Saccharomyces cerevisiae S288C: one gene and its partners. Changing the gene in region 3 together with the main gene of any one other region gives a genetic interaction. Each region holds a gene or a part of one and is shown on either strand. Other genes may lie near its edges.

Region 1 (4,370 bases), on a different chromosome or scaffold from region 3:
CTGGGCTTCCTTTTCTTTCGATTTTCCAACTTTTGACTCATCAAAGAGCATAAAACTTCACAACTATCTAATATGTTATTGGCCCCGCACATAGCAAACCTGCTGGCGTGAAAAGTTTGATGGTTGAACCCTGTATCGCCTTTCAAGTGAGTGAGCCTTTGAATTTCATTATGGAAAAGTGCGGAGTAGCTACAATTCCAATCGATCATGCATCTCAATAATATTATTCTATCTAATGGTTCCATCGTCAACAAACCACCTCCATTAAAATTTAGAGTAGATAAAATATCACTATTACCACGCCATTCTTTTGGTAAGCCCCACTCCTGGATTAAGCTTCTGAGTTTGCCAACCAGTTTTCCATATGGATTTTTCAAACTAAGAAATCTTTTTAGCGTGAAATTTCTATGAGTTTGGTTGTCTGCTCTTTTCTCGGAGCAGAATAATAACCTCAAAAGACTGCAAAATAGTAGATTCATTTTATCCTGACAAATTCGAATATTCTTCGCAGAATGGCCAGCCACCTTTAATTCTAGTCCTATCTCCACATCTTGAAATGACAGGTTCAGTAGATCGTCGCTGAACACCCATTTAAATTTGACGATAAAAGAAAGGATCTTCATAACATCGCCTGCATATGGGAGAGGGGTGCAAAGGGGAGGCGCCCAATTGCTTTCCGTTACCGTCTCATCACTCATAAACTTTGCAAAGTCAGAATATCGTAAAGGAATATTTGGTGACCAGTTTAATGTATTCAATGGTCTATTATTAGAAGTAGTGTGTTCACTGATCGACTCTACCTTGTTAGTGTCGTTCGAATGTGTTTTGATATTAGAATATTTGCTTGCCATATTTGCCTCCATTTCTTTAGTTTTCATTTCTTCATCACAGGTACCTTCATATTTCTCCCGCTTTTTAGTATTTTGGGTAGCAGCATCCAGTGATTCGTCAATTGAACTATTGTGAGAAAGTACAACAGGTTCTTCTACAATTTTGATGTTTCTGAAATCATCAAAGGTCAACTGACCCCTTCTTTTTACCCTAGGCTTTGAAGACTGGTTTTTCTGTTGTTTGACCATAGGTTTCTTGATAAAGTCATCGACCAAGTCTAAATCAATAATTTCTGTCATTATTGTACCTCAAATTTCTTGTTCCTTATTTTCTTGTTTGATGTCTAAAAAAAAGAGATATCCTGGTAATGAGCAGGCCGTTTCTTCAGCTCATACAATCGAAAGCTTAAGAGTTAGTCGTTGATATGGTATTCTCTAATACCGAAAATAACTTAGTACATATAAACGCGTAAAGTTCACGCGTTTATATCACCCTACCATATGACATTCTAACCCTACTAATTTTTTATCAAAGCTAATAGGGTTGTATTTTATTATCTTTTACACCTACCTTTTTTTTTTGTATATGCCCTATAGATGAATTATAATTGTTGGACCGGTTTGTATTGGGCTTTTAAGGTGTAAAGTGAGTGCGTATAGATTATAGCAGAATAGACTATAAGTACGGCAAGACAGGAAAGTCTCCAATTGATGTACATTTTATCGCTTTGTGATCTAGGCAGTCGTTACAAACATGTTTAGAGATAGAACTAATTTATTTTTATCATACCGTAGGACTTTCCCTCATAACATAACTTTCTCATCTGGGAAAGCACCCTTGGGCGATGATCAAGATATTGAAATGGGTACATACCCGATGATGAATATGTCTCACGATATATCGGCCAGATTGACAGATGAACGAAAAAACAAGCATGAGAATCACAGTGATGCGTTACCACCCATATTTATTGATATAGCGCAGGATGTTGATGATTATCTTCTGGAGGTGAGACGGTTAAGTGAGCAGTTGGCGAAGGTTTATAGGAAGAATTCGTTACCTGGCTTTGAAGACAAGAGTCATGATGAGGCGCTGATTGAAGATCTAAGTTTCAAAGTAATTCAGATGCTGCAGAAATGTTACGCTGTTATGAAACGATTAAAGACCATATACAACTCTCAATTTGTGGATGGTAAGCAATTAAGTCGAGAAGAGCTGATTATACTAGATAATCTACAGAAGATCTATGCAGAAAAGATACAAACTGAAAGTAATAAGTTCAGAGTATTACAAAATAATTACTTGAAATTCTTGAACAAGGATGATTTGAAACCTATCCGCAATAAGGCCAGTGCAGAGAACACGCTATTATTAGATGATGAGGAAGAGGAGGCAGCAAGAGAGAAGAGAGAGGGCCTCGATATTGAAGACTATTCAAAAAGGACGTTGCAGAGACAGCAACAGCTTCATGACACTTCTGCAGAAGCATATTTGAGAGAACGTGACGAAGAAATTACTCAGTTGGCAAGGGGTGTATTAGAAGTGAGCACTATTTTCAGGGAAATGCAAGATTTGGTTGTTGACCAGGGGACTATTGTGGACAGGATTGATTATAATCTGGAAAATACAGTGGTAGAGCTAAAAAGTGCAGATAAAGAGTTGAATAAAGCAACACACTACCAGAAGAGAACTCAAAAATGTAAAGTCATTTTATTACTAACATTGTGCGTAATAGCGCTCTTTTTCTTTGTTATGTTGAAACCACATGGCGGTGGCAGTGGTGGTCGTAATAATGGTAGCAACAAGTACAACAATGATGATAATAAAACAGTTAATAACAGTCATGATGACGGCAGTAATACCCATATTAATGACGAAGAGAGCAACTTGCCGAGTATCGTTGAAGTAACAGAATCTGAGAATGATGCTTTGGATGACCTACTTTGATGACAAAACTTTCACGGTACCGCATCGCGATTTTGAACTATAATATGCTTTGAAGAAAATTGAGAGATTTAGTCAGCGTTCATATGACCTGTTGCTCGTTCTATTTGAGAAAAGTGAAAAGGTTAATATATGATTTCAATAAAGTATGTAGTATGATAATAAAATACAAATTTATATGGGATAAAATTGAACCGCAAGTAAAGACTGGCGAACGAATATTGTGCATAAGTAGTTCCTGAAGATGATAAAATATGGTTTAATACAAGTTGGTGGTTATTGTGATTTGTAGAATATAAAAAAAAAAAAAGAACCTTCATTTTTCTTTTTTTACCTAAATCCGTAAGGATTGTTCAGTGAAGTAGTAGCTCGGGGCAAGTTTTTGTTTTGCATTCTCCTCTTATAGGCAGGCTTATATCCTTGTGTTATCGGGCTTTGGTTTGGTAAAGGATTCGGAGCAAAACCGACGCCTGGTACCGGATTTCTGTGCTGTGGCACTTGGTTTGGGGCAACGTTGAAATAAGGATTGCTTTGTAAAATAACATTAGAAGGATCTGGACCAGCAGGAGTAGTTCTTTGATATAAATTGTATTGATGATATTGCTGCTGTGGTTGCTGTTGTTGTGGTTGTAGTCGTTGTTGGGGATACACTAATGGCGCCGGGTGTGGCTGACCAGCGTACGGCCTTATATTTGCAGGACCAGCGGCTGTTTCTCGAGGCATTTGATTGTATACTTCCGGATTGACACCTCTCTGTGATATTGAAGTCAACGTTGAATCTTTATCGTTGTAGGAGGACATGCTGTTGATGTGGCTATCGTTTGGTTCATTGAAGGAGGTCTCCATGATGTCGTTTAGTAGTCTCGAAGGATTTCTGTGCGGTATGACCTCTCTTTGAGAGTAGTCTGAGGACGCTAATGATGCACTGGATGATATTTCCGTTTTTCCTAGCGGAACTTTATAGTTTATATTGTTGCTGGTGTTACTACCATTGTTTCTCACATAATTATTAGAAACACTCCCATTTTTCAAGCCACTTTCACTTTCAATGACAGAATACGTTGAAGTTGACCTCCTTTTGTCATAGGCCATGCCATCGTCCTCTTCTTCATTAAGTCCGGAACCATTTGAATTTTCCATGTCCTTTGCTTCTTTATCGAAAGTAGAAATATCAGACGTGGTAGAAGTGGTTATGTTTGATAATTTCGGATCTTGATTGTGTGAAATAATATCTGGGACAACAGTGATATTAGTACCGTTCTTAAAATTGTCACCCAATAAATTCGTTCTTGAATCACCACGGAGGTTGGCCTCACTATCAGCGTCGATATCGAATCTCCCGGACTTCGAACTTAGATATGGGTCATTCAGCAGCATGCCCTTTTCTTCCAGTTCCTCGGTTTCGTCATCATCCCTTGAGCCTGAGCTTCTTGAATAAGCTGAGAATATCAAAGGAATTACTAGTAGAGATAAAGCAGCTCCTGGTATCAGGACCCATGAACACCAGGTTACATGTGGGTAAAACAGTAAAAATACCACGATACATATCAAAGAAGCAGAAAGAAAGCCTAGAGTGGAAAATGTCAAATTAACAA
Region 2 (4,453 bases), on a different chromosome or scaffold from region 3:
AGTGTGGCAAAATGCAAATGAGCGTTCTGGTAGTATGTGTCCAATGTTGTAGTGTCAACTTTGTCTGCCGTTCTGGTGGCTTTTGACAGTTGATTTTCCAACGATTATTATTATGCGCGAAATTAAAGAAAAGGAATCTTGTATGATGATAAAATAAATAGATCAAATTAAATCATCAGTACAGACCAGAAAACAATTAAGTGTCCTTTTAGAAATACGAGAGGGTGGTAAAATATTGAAGAATGGTAAATTTCGATTTGGGCCAAGTTGGTGAAGTATTCCGTAGAAAGGACAAAGGAGCTATAGTGTCCGGAGACAACCCAGAAGAAGAAGAAGACGTCGATGCTTCTGAGTTTGAAGAGGATGAAGTAAAGCCTGTGCGTACAAAGAACAGAAGACCCAAAGAGGATGCATTCACTCAACAAAGATTAGCGGCTATAAACCCGGTGTTAACGCCGAGGACAGTTTTGCCTCTTTATCTGTTAATTGCTGTTGTATTTGTTATTGTAGGAGGGTGCATATTAGCACAGAACTCCAAAGTGGATGAAGTAACCATATATTACCAGGACTGTATGACTAACGCAACCTCATCATGGAGCGACATCCCTTCTGAACATTGGCAATTTGTATTTCACAAATATAAAACATATAATACTGCACCACAATGGAGGTTTGTGGATGATGAATCAGATGACTTCACAAAACAAAGAGGTACATGCCAAATCAGGTTCACTACTCCAAGTGATATGAAAAATAACGTATATTTGAATTATGTGCTGGAAAAATTTGCTGCCAATCACAGAAGATATGTACTATCTTTTAGCGAAGATCAGATACGTGGGGAGGACGCCTCTTATGAGACGGTGCATGATGCAACCGGTATAAATTGTAAGCCACTATCTAAGAACGCCGATGGTAAAATATACTATCCATGTGGCCTAATTGCGAACTCAATGTTCAACGACACGTTCCCCCTGCAGTTAACAAATGTAGGGGATACGTCTAACAACTATTCATTGACAAATAAAGGAATCAATTGGGAATCTGATAAAAAAAGGTACAAAAAAACCAAATACAATTATACACAGATAGCACCTCCACCATATTGGGAAAAGATGTATCCAGATGGATACAACGAGACGAATATTCCTGATATTCAGGATTGGGAAGAGTTCCAAAACTGGATGAGGCCAGGTGCTTTTGATAAAATTACAAAACTGATCAGAATCAATAAAAACGATACTTTGCCAGCGGGTGAATACCAGTTGGATATCGGTCTGCATTGGCCAGTATTGGAGTTTAATGGTAAGAAGGGAATCTACTTGACTCACGGTTCTCACCTTGGCGGTAGAAATCCATTTTTAGGTATAGTTTACCTGATTGGAGGCTGTATTTGTGCTGCCATGGCATTGATATTATTAACGTTTTGGCTCTTCGGCGGTAGAAAGATTGCTGATGCATCAAGTTTGTCATGGAATATGAAATAGAAAAGGAGTGATGGTTTTCTTTATTTTTAACCCTGTAAAATTTTTTTATTTTTTTATTTTTACTCTTATATATGTATATGTTTGTGTTTATTTCTGAATAAAAATTTATAAGAACCAAATTAAAACCGTTAATAGCCCACCCAAAATTGAAGTAAACGAACTCATACCTAGATGCTGGGCCTCATTATGCGAAACTGTTTTCTTTATTGCAGATTTAATAACGCCTACAGTACCGGTTAAAGTACCCATCCCAATAGACCCCACGGAGGGAGAAGCGACTGTTACGTACTGGGAGGAGAAACGCTGGACAAAAGTAGTTTGCACAGTGATAGTGTTGCCCTGTCTAACAACAGTGACCCACATGGACGTTGGCGCACGTGTGGTTGTGTAAGTGGAGGTTGTACCTTCAGTGATGGTAATGTATGAGTCAATAGATAGACTAGTGACAGCAGACACAGGAGGTTCTGTGAAGTCTGTGGAGGGGTCTGGCCTGGTGCCTGTTTCAGCTACTGCGCTCCCTGTCGATGTGGTCGTCTTTACACTGGAGGATGAACCAGACGAAGATACAGACGAGGACACAGACGAGGAGGCGGATGAAGTAGCACTGGTGCTAGAATGTGTGAACGTTTGAGTCAATGTAACTGTGGTACCCAAATCGTTTGTCGTGGTAACTGTAGATAAATACAGTCCCGAAGACAACGATGAAGTTGCGGTAGGAACAGTGGTGGTTGTCTTACCAGTAGATGAGGTAGAAGTCGTCGTGGTTGGTAGCATAGTGGCTCTGTTGACTGTCTGAGTAAGAGTGACGGTGGTTCCGACATCGTTAGTGGTAGTGAATACCGTAGTGAAGAAACCTGTTTGAGCGGTAGTTGTAGCAGCAGCAGCAGCGGTGGCAGGGTCCCATATTGTGGTCTCCGTAACCAGGGCCCCTGCGACATTTGTTACCACTGTAACCTGAGTTGTCACAGCTGCCATGACCGCAGCTGACCACAACGACAAAGAAAGTAGCAGCGTAGCGAATGAATGTAATAGCGTGCGACGCATCATTTTTTTTTTGATTGTCTTGCAGAAGTTGAAGAGGTCTTTACTGTAGCATATACAAGTGCTTAATTCTTGATTTTTATTTTCTTTTTTTCATAATACACGTTATAGAAAAAGCCCCATTCTCAGTTTATGAAAAAACGCGATATCACCATACACGCTGAGGTAGGGGGATACAAGGTGAAGAATGTACGCAATAAGGCGAAGTATATGGCACAATTGAGCAGTAAAAGTGTTAAAATATAGTGATATATATATATAAAATACGAGAGTACCAACTATTATGATCTTTTAATGCCCTCTTTCCGTTGAGATATTCATAATAGTAACCGTCACGGAACTGTCGCTTTATACGGTGAGGGGATTATTTAGTTCCTAATTTATATTAGATAAAGAAGATAATAAACATGAGGGATGCTGTAAATGAAAGTGAAATAACTGCTAGCTAGAAGAGCGGTAAGCAGCAATGGCCAAAAATAACCACATTTCTGCCAGTGGTAACAGTACCTCTGGAGACCATCGTCTTAAAGAGGAGGTTCTGACCCCAACTACATCTGCCTCGACTCCTCATAGAATATTTAGCGTGGACGATGATCCAAAGGAGATCCAAAACGATATCAGGTATCTTGAGGGTCTGCATGAAGGGTTGAAGTTCGCCCTGCATGCCAATAAATCCAAGCGATCTGTAAGCTCGCAATCACCAATCGTACATAGCAGCAACAACACGCTGCACCACCACGAGCACCAACAACACTTGCCGCCCACACTAGAGTCGCTATCCTCCAAGTCGCACTCTGTGCCAGACTTAAATACAGCTACTCCCAGCTCTCCGAAACGAATGCATTCATCTATCCGGGAATTACCTCATGATGACAATGATGACGAGGACGCCAATGATGACAGTCGGTTCATTATACACGACTCGCACGGCCATGATTTACTTATAGACGAGATCAATTGCCAGTCGCCTTCACACTTGGAAAACAATGACCAGGCGTCTAATGCTTCGTCCACAGAGTCATTCACTTTACGAGAAAGACAGGACGCCATCAACGAGACCCACCCCTTCGGTATCAGGATATGGAAGCCTGCTTTATATAAGAAACACCGTTCAGTTCAAAGAACCGCGGCGCAAGACATTCACGAGACTCAGTTGAAGACTATTACCTGGGAGGTGACTTGTTCCAATGTGCTATGGTTTATTTTGTTCGGTTTCCCCATTGCGATACTCTTCTACTCGGCGGCTATTGTGGTATTTTTACTAGGCGGCGGAGGACTGGTAACGAACTCTGCGAAGGAGTACTCCAAGTGTCTGTATAAACTCGCCAATTATTTCCTTTGGCCTTTTGGCAAAATGGTATACTTGTTGCAGGACGAGCAATATTTACAAGAAGATAAGGATGAAGGTATTAGTATGCAGCAATTCTACAATTGGGTGACTTCATACTCCAACAGGCTGGTCTTCCACCAGTCTCAGGCCAAGTTTCAGCAAAGAGAGGACCATCCGGCCCCTGCAACGGAATCTTCGTCTTTGATGCCGCCCGCTAACACAACAGCAACACCGCTTAACTCGAACCATCCATCATATAATTCTATTAGACACGAAATTCCGCACGCAGCGGCTCAAAGACGGTACTTTGGGAGAGGAAAATGGAGCTGGGGTCGTGTTCTTTTCTATACAATCTTCCATCTCGTCTTGCAACCCATCCTTGCCGTCTTATCTCTTTGCCTCTGGCTCCTGGTGTTTACCATTCCCATGAGTAATGTTCTTTGGCAAATTATGTATCATTGCAGAAGACATCCGCTTGCATTAGGCTTCAAATATGTCGAGAACTCCTCCCAATCGCACGAAAATGAAATAACCCAGCAGCAATTGAACAAAAATATCCTCTTATGTACGTTCCGTGCCGCTGGCTGGCATTACT
Region 3 (6,487 bases):
ATGCAATTGAACATTTTTTACACTTTGTATAATAGACTTCAAGACATGAAGATTCCATATTTTGATTTGAACAGTGACATTGTAGAGTCGTACATTGCCAAGAAAGGCAATGTGGAAGAACAAACGGACGCCTTGACTATTACACACTTTAAACTCGGTTACTCTAAGGCAAAATTGGAGATGACCAGAAGGAAGTATGGTGTAGCAACCGCCGAAGGCTCACCCGTCAGTGGCGCATCAAGCGGTGTCGGATATGGTGCTGGGTATGATCCAGCAACTGCCACTTCTCCAACCCCTACAGGATACGGTTATGGTGCCGCAGCACCAAGTTACGCCGCTCAACCTGCTGCCCAGTATGGTACTGCTGCCGCCGTTGGTACTGCTGCTGCTGTTGGTACTGCTGCTGGTGCTGCTGCTGGCGCTGTTCCGGGTACTTATCCACAGTATGCTGCTGCGCAATCTCCACCGCTCACTGGGCTAGGCTTCCAACAATCACCACAGCAGCAACAGGGACCACCACCGGCCTACTCTAATCCTCTAACATCACCTGTTGCGGGCACACCAGCCGCGGCCGTAGCGGCAGCTCCTGGCGTTGAAACTGTTACCGCATTGTATGACTACCAAGCTCAAGCTGCTGGTGATTTGTCTTTCCCTGCCGGCGCAGTTATAGAAATTGTCCAGCGTACTCCGGACGTGAACGAATGGTGGACAGGAAGATACAATGGCCAGCAAGGTGTGTTTCCTGGGAACTACGTGCAACTCAACAAGAACTAGAGGAGGCCCCTGCATCCCTCTGTATTCATTACCTTCTATTGTGAGATGTTACCATTACCTTTTTCTTTTATTGTAATGTTTCTTAATTTAAATACTATATAGGGTAATTCATCCTTCCACCAACAAAGTATCGTTTGAGTCTATCTATTACGGGCATGCGGCGAGCATATTACCCTACTGACAATATCCCAAAAGGGAAGGAGCGCGTTCCCAATAGGGCTGCCACCTTCCCAATATGGTACAAAGCCTACCATATGGGGAAATCAGTTTTCTCGCTCACCTCGCCTAGTCTTCCTAAAACGACGTTCCTCAGTCTCCTTTCTCTTTTATAAAACACCATCTCTGTCTTGTCGATGACACAGCCCAGTTGGGAAACCGGTGCTGACAAACAGGAAAAAAGCAAGACTAGTGGCCTGGCGCGGAAGAAACTGAGCTACATTGCACAACATCTTCAAGCAGGGTGTACGCATTCATTACTTTAATACTAAATTTAGAAGAAATCATCCTTTTTACTCGCGAAACTGTTAGGCTTGATCGGACGATCTCAGAAGAGGAAAAACAAATTGATAAAGTCTTCGTTAGGTTTCCTAGAATAGCAGGCCCGTTACAAAAAATTTTTTTACCCATTCCACTGGTTTTATTCACTAGTGACTTGAAAACTCCACATATTTTTGATCTCTTAAGCTTTCACGCATCACAAAGTTATCAGAACAAATTTTCTCCAGAAAGTTATATTGCAGTGTTCAAAAAGCCGTTCTCATTTCACAGCAATTTTTTTCTAAAGTAGAGGGGCAGAGAAATTAGCCTTCACAAGTTTGCTTTCGAGCTTCCAATTTGATTCCTGCTTTGGTCTTACTTTCATCCTCTCAATACCACTAAGATAAACTAAAAATATCTTTATAATGCCAAATAATACTCTTAAACAAGGCTCCAAAATTGAAAATGTTTCTCCCTCTAAAGGTCATGTCCCAAGTTTTTGGAAGCAGTTCATAAACAACCCTAAGAGTATGTCATCCGAAAATATTACAGTCCCTAGATCACCAACTTCTCTTTCAAGGAATGCTCAACCAACTACTTTAAAACGGCCTCCATTATCTTCAAGACCATATTCATATAATACCCCAACCAAAGATAGGAAATCCTTTTCCAAATCCGCGAAACAGAACAATAACAATAACAACGCTAATTCCGGAACATCGCCTCACGCAGAGTTCAAAAATTACAGAGATATGTTTTTATCTAATAGAAATGGTTTCACAGGTAGGGTTTTCGGTGTTACTTTAGCAGAATCGTTGAGCGTCGCCAGTGCAGAGGTCATTGTTCAAAGTGAGTTGGTGAGTTTTGGTCGGATACCCATCGTGGTAGCCAAGTGCGGCGCATACTTAAAAGCAAATGGATTGGAGACCTCGGGTATATTTCGTATAGCGGGCAATGGTAAAAGAGTAAAAGCCCTTCAATACATATTCTCGTCGCCACCTGATTATGGTACCAAATTCAACGATTGGGAAACATATACAGTGCACGATGTTGCATCGCTCCTGAGGAGATACCTTAATAATTTGGCCGAACCACTAATACCTTTATCCCTATATGAACAATTCAGAAACCCGCTACGATCTAGACCAAGAATCCTAAGGCATATGTTGACCCACGAAGTTTCTCATCCGAATGCGAATAAAACAAATAATGTAACAGTAAAATCAAGTAGACAGAACTATAATGATGATGGTGCTAATGATGGTGACATCGAAAAGGAGGACGCTAAAGATGATGAAGAAAAAAGACGAAGAAAAATACGTCATAAGAGAAGGCTGACCCGCGATATAAGGGCAGCTATCAAGGAATATGAAGAGCTCTTTGTTACCTTATCAAATGACACGAAACAGCTAACTATATACCTACTCGATTTACTGAGTCTTTTTGCAAGGCAATCACAGTTTAACCTAATGTCTGGTAGAAACTTGGCGGCCATCTTCCAACCTTCAATATTATCGCATCCTCAACATGATATGGACCCCAAAGAATACGAGTTATCCCGACTAGTAGTGGAATTTTTGATTGAATACTCGTACAAGCTATTACCCCATCTTTTGAAGTTGGCTAAAAGGGAACAACAGGAACGGTTGTCAACCGAAAATAAGAAAAATAATGGAGATAAACAGAAAACTGATCCTATAGAAATACCAAAGATCACCTCATCGGATTCGCCACCAATAGTTTCTTCCAATAAAAACCCACCGGCGATTGACAATAACAATAAACTAGACCATACGACGTTATCGCCAATATCTACTTCGATACCGGAGAACTCATCAGACCTACAGACTTCAAAAATGTTAAAGCCTCCGAAGCAAAGAAGACCACACTCAAAATCGTTTGGTTCTACTCCGGTTCCTCCGGATGTTATTGCTAGTAATAAAAGAAGAACGAGTTTATTCCCGTGGTTACATAAACCGGGAATTTTGAGTGACACAGGAGACAATGGCGACTTAACTGCTACTGAAGCTGAAGGTGATGATTATGAAGAAGAAAATGTTGATCCATACGGTCAGTCTCCATCTAGCGTACACTCAGGTTCTTTGCCCAAACAGCATTATCTGCCAATTCCTCGAATGAACAGATCGTTGAGTGGAAACAGTACCAATTCGTCCTTTAACACTAGACCTATTTCAATGATCCTGACCAGTGGTAATGATAATTCCGCTGATCAATTAGAATTACTAAGTAACACTCATAGCAATAATGAGCGCAGTAATGCTTTACCATTAACCGAAGATGATGGGGATGAAAGAAATTCAAGATCACGCAAGAGGGAATCATGGTTTCAAAGACTAACAAGCCGTTCAGGCTCTGCTAACAGGGCTTGATAACACCATTTTTCTTTCCTTTTAATTTCCTCATTTTTTTTTTTTTCGTTATTTCCCTTAAAAACCTGTTGGCGGTTTTCTTTCTTTTTCTTTGCCTTCTGTATAAATAACAAATAAACATCATTCCCCTTTCAAGATTTATAACCATAAAGGGAACATATATAACATAAATCATGAAGAGGACAAATTACGGACAATTATTCTGTAGCGATGCTAATCAGTATAAAATAAAAGAATAAAAATTCTTAAGTTGTTAATATGCCAGAGAAATGTTACAGCTTGTAACTCTTCAATAATGAATTTCTATGTTATATGACTGGCTGTTTCATATAAGCTATAACAGGGATCATGATCATTAAGCATTTTCTCTGCAACATTTATGTCGTACACTGCGAACCACGATTAAATAAATATATAGATACCTTTTCTTATTTATTAGTCTAATTCAACAATATCAGAATTAGTCGGTTCATTAACTAACTTTGTCCTTTTGTTACTGGGCGCCTCAGAAATCTCAGTATCAACTGGCCTCTTCTTTGAACCATTGATCGGTTCAGCATCGATGGTGATCTCACCTTCATCGTCGTCTAATATCACGATACCATCTTTCCCATGACTGTTCGTAGTTGCGACTACATCTGCACCCTTTTCATTTTTTTCTTCTTCTTCATTTTTTGAAGGACTATTGTTGGCCTTTATTAATGGGACTTCAACGTCCGGTAAGCTGCAAGTATTACATGGGAGTTCATCATCAACATCAAGAAATAATTCTATGGCTTTGCGGATCATTGTATCACCTTCTTCGTCGGAGAATAATATTATAGAACCATTTCCAAGATTAATCTCCGATAAAGTACGATCGTTCAAATCCTCGAAATCGTAATCAAATAGTAACCTTTGATTACTTGCGTCCAGGAGCGAAATATCCTGTGGATATGAGTACTTCTCGCGTATTAAAACTACAAAATCACTTAGTTTCATTTTGTTCAAACAATCGCTGGATAACTTAATAACACCTCTACAAACTTTAGAGCAAACTGGGCAATTTTTATTTGGAGGGGCTAGTTTCGGATTTGATAAATAACGATTTTGGGATAGATTGCTTGCCTTTGCTGTGAAAGCCATATTCAAATCAGTATACTTAGTAGTTGGGGCATATTTCAAAAGATTTAAAACGCGCAGTGAAATCAATGACGATGCACCGGCAACGATAGCATTCGTTGTTGCAATAGCCGGGATAATGTTACCAGCAATTTGCTTGATGTCAAATACGGACTTCATTGGAATATTGAATATGTGTGACCTTATGTTCGCAGCAGTTGCGACGAATTCCAAAGTATCAGCATCATCTTTATCAAATTCAATATGATTTTGCTCTTTGGGATAGCGATCCATTAATTTTTGTGTAATATTAATGAAATTACTAATTTGCTCCTGTATTGTGCCAACAGAATTAGAGGCAGACTGAGCTGTTTTAGTAGGAGTATTTATTTGAGAGTCTGATAATGGTACTGGCTTTGTTCTCGTTTTCCATAAATTTTCAATGGCTAGCAGTTTATTTATATCCTGAATGAATAATTTATTAAGAATCTCTGGAATACGGGATGCATCTCTTGATATGATAATTTTTTGCAATTCATACAATTCATTAGTTTCTTGTTTAATGCGCTTAATTTCTTCAGCATCATCTGTACCCCAATCCTGGTTGTTATCATCTTCATTTCCAGAGGTCTCTGACGCAAATAGCTGGTTAAATAGAAAGTTTTTCGCCCAAACAATGCAATGAATTGGCTGAGAAGGAGTGGACCTGATAGTACACACAGGAAAAGTCTTTGGTGTTTCCTTCTTTGTACATTCAAAACACTCAGTTTTCCCGGGGATAATAGGCTGCATGTATCCATCAAATCCAGCTGTTCCAGATTCTATTAAGGGCAGTGATAGAAACTGTGATATTTTATTGACATACCGTCTTGCGGCCAAGTTATCAAGAGCATTGAAGATAATGTCAAATTGCTCAAACCAATGCAGTGGGAAGGTAGAAATGTCCATAACATTTCCTTGGTAAGGCACTAACTTAGAGTTATTGAAATGCTGTACTGCTTTTACGGCTGTGGTAGACTTCGGTTGTTTAATATCTTTTTGTCTAAAAAGAAATTGCCTGTTTAAGTTCGAAAGGTCAATGGTGTCCAAATCGACAATATGTATTTCACCAAATTCCATCAAGATTATATCCTTTAACAATTCAGACCCTATGCCCCCAGCACCGACCAGAAGACATCTTGAGGACCGTAATTTCTTGTAACTATCTTCACCGATGATTGTTACCAAACTTGTTTCCCTTGGCATTTTCTTTTCTTGTTTGGCGTAGCGCTCCTGATCTTGTGTGTCTGTTGAAGTACGCAATTAGTGGATTGCTCATCCAAATATCTTGATTTAGCGTAAACATACTTCGCCTTTGAAAAACTTTAACTTGAAAATAGAGTATAAAAAAAAATTGCACAAAAAATGCGGAAGCCGGGAATCGAACCCGGGCCCCATGCTTGGGAAGCATGAATTCTAACCACTGAACCACTTTCGCTAAGAAGATCTAGCTTACATAGGTTTTGTGGTAATATAAATTCTTGAGACCGTAACCGCGCAAAGAAATACCTAAAATAGTAATTGCTAACTACATCTAAAAACAGACTGAAGCTCACTAGATATGAGACTTTTCTCACATCTTCAAAATAAAGAAAACAATAGCAGGCGAAATTTTTTTGAACCTGGTTATACAGTGCATGCTCCAAAATGTCGTCTTTAAACACTACTTTTTATTCTAAATAATTACTTGAAGGGGGGAAAGAAAA

The links. Genes that interact genetically often act in the same process or in processes that back each other up.
Region 1: mutations in SAC7 (region 3) and TLG2 together harm fitness more than expected from each alone (negative genetic interaction), as found in Saccharomyces cerevisiae (5 studies listed by BioGRID, with this or other methods).
Region 2: mutations in SAC7 (region 3) and KRE1 together harm fitness more than expected from each alone (negative genetic interaction), as found in Saccharomyces cerevisiae (5 studies listed by BioGRID, with this or other methods).

Annotation. Positions count from the first base shown.
Region 1 is NC_001147.6:289,289-293,658, reverse strand, and holds TLG2 (t-SNARE syntaxin TLG2), read left to right. Parts: upstream 1-1,584; coding exon 1,585-2,778; downstream 2,779-4,370. Other genes in the region: ESC8 (Esc8p), read right to left, coding at 1-1,130; TOS7 (Tos7p), read right to left, coding at 3,106-4,370. UniProt on the Saccharomyces cerevisiae protein: t-SNARE that functions in transport from the endosome to the late Golgi and on the endocytic pathway.
Region 2 is NC_001146.8:31,702-36,154, forward strand, and holds KRE1 (Kre1p), read right to left. Parts: upstream 2,535-4,453; coding exon 1,593-2,534; downstream 1-1,592. Other genes in the region: LEM3 (Lem3p), read left to right, coding at 243-1,487; VNX1 (calcium/hydrogen antiporter), read left to right, coding at 2,995-4,453. UniProt on the Saccharomyces cerevisiae protein: Involved in a late stage of cell wall 1,6-beta-glucan synthesis and assembly.
Region 3 is NC_001136.10:1,250,861-1,257,347, forward strand, and holds SAC7 (GTPase-activating protein SAC7), read left to right. Parts: upstream 1-1,676; coding exon 1,677-3,641; downstream 3,642-6,487. Other genes in the region: RVS167 (amphiphysin), read left to right, coding at 1-774; E1 ubiquitin-activating protein UBA2, read right to left, coding at 4,077-5,987.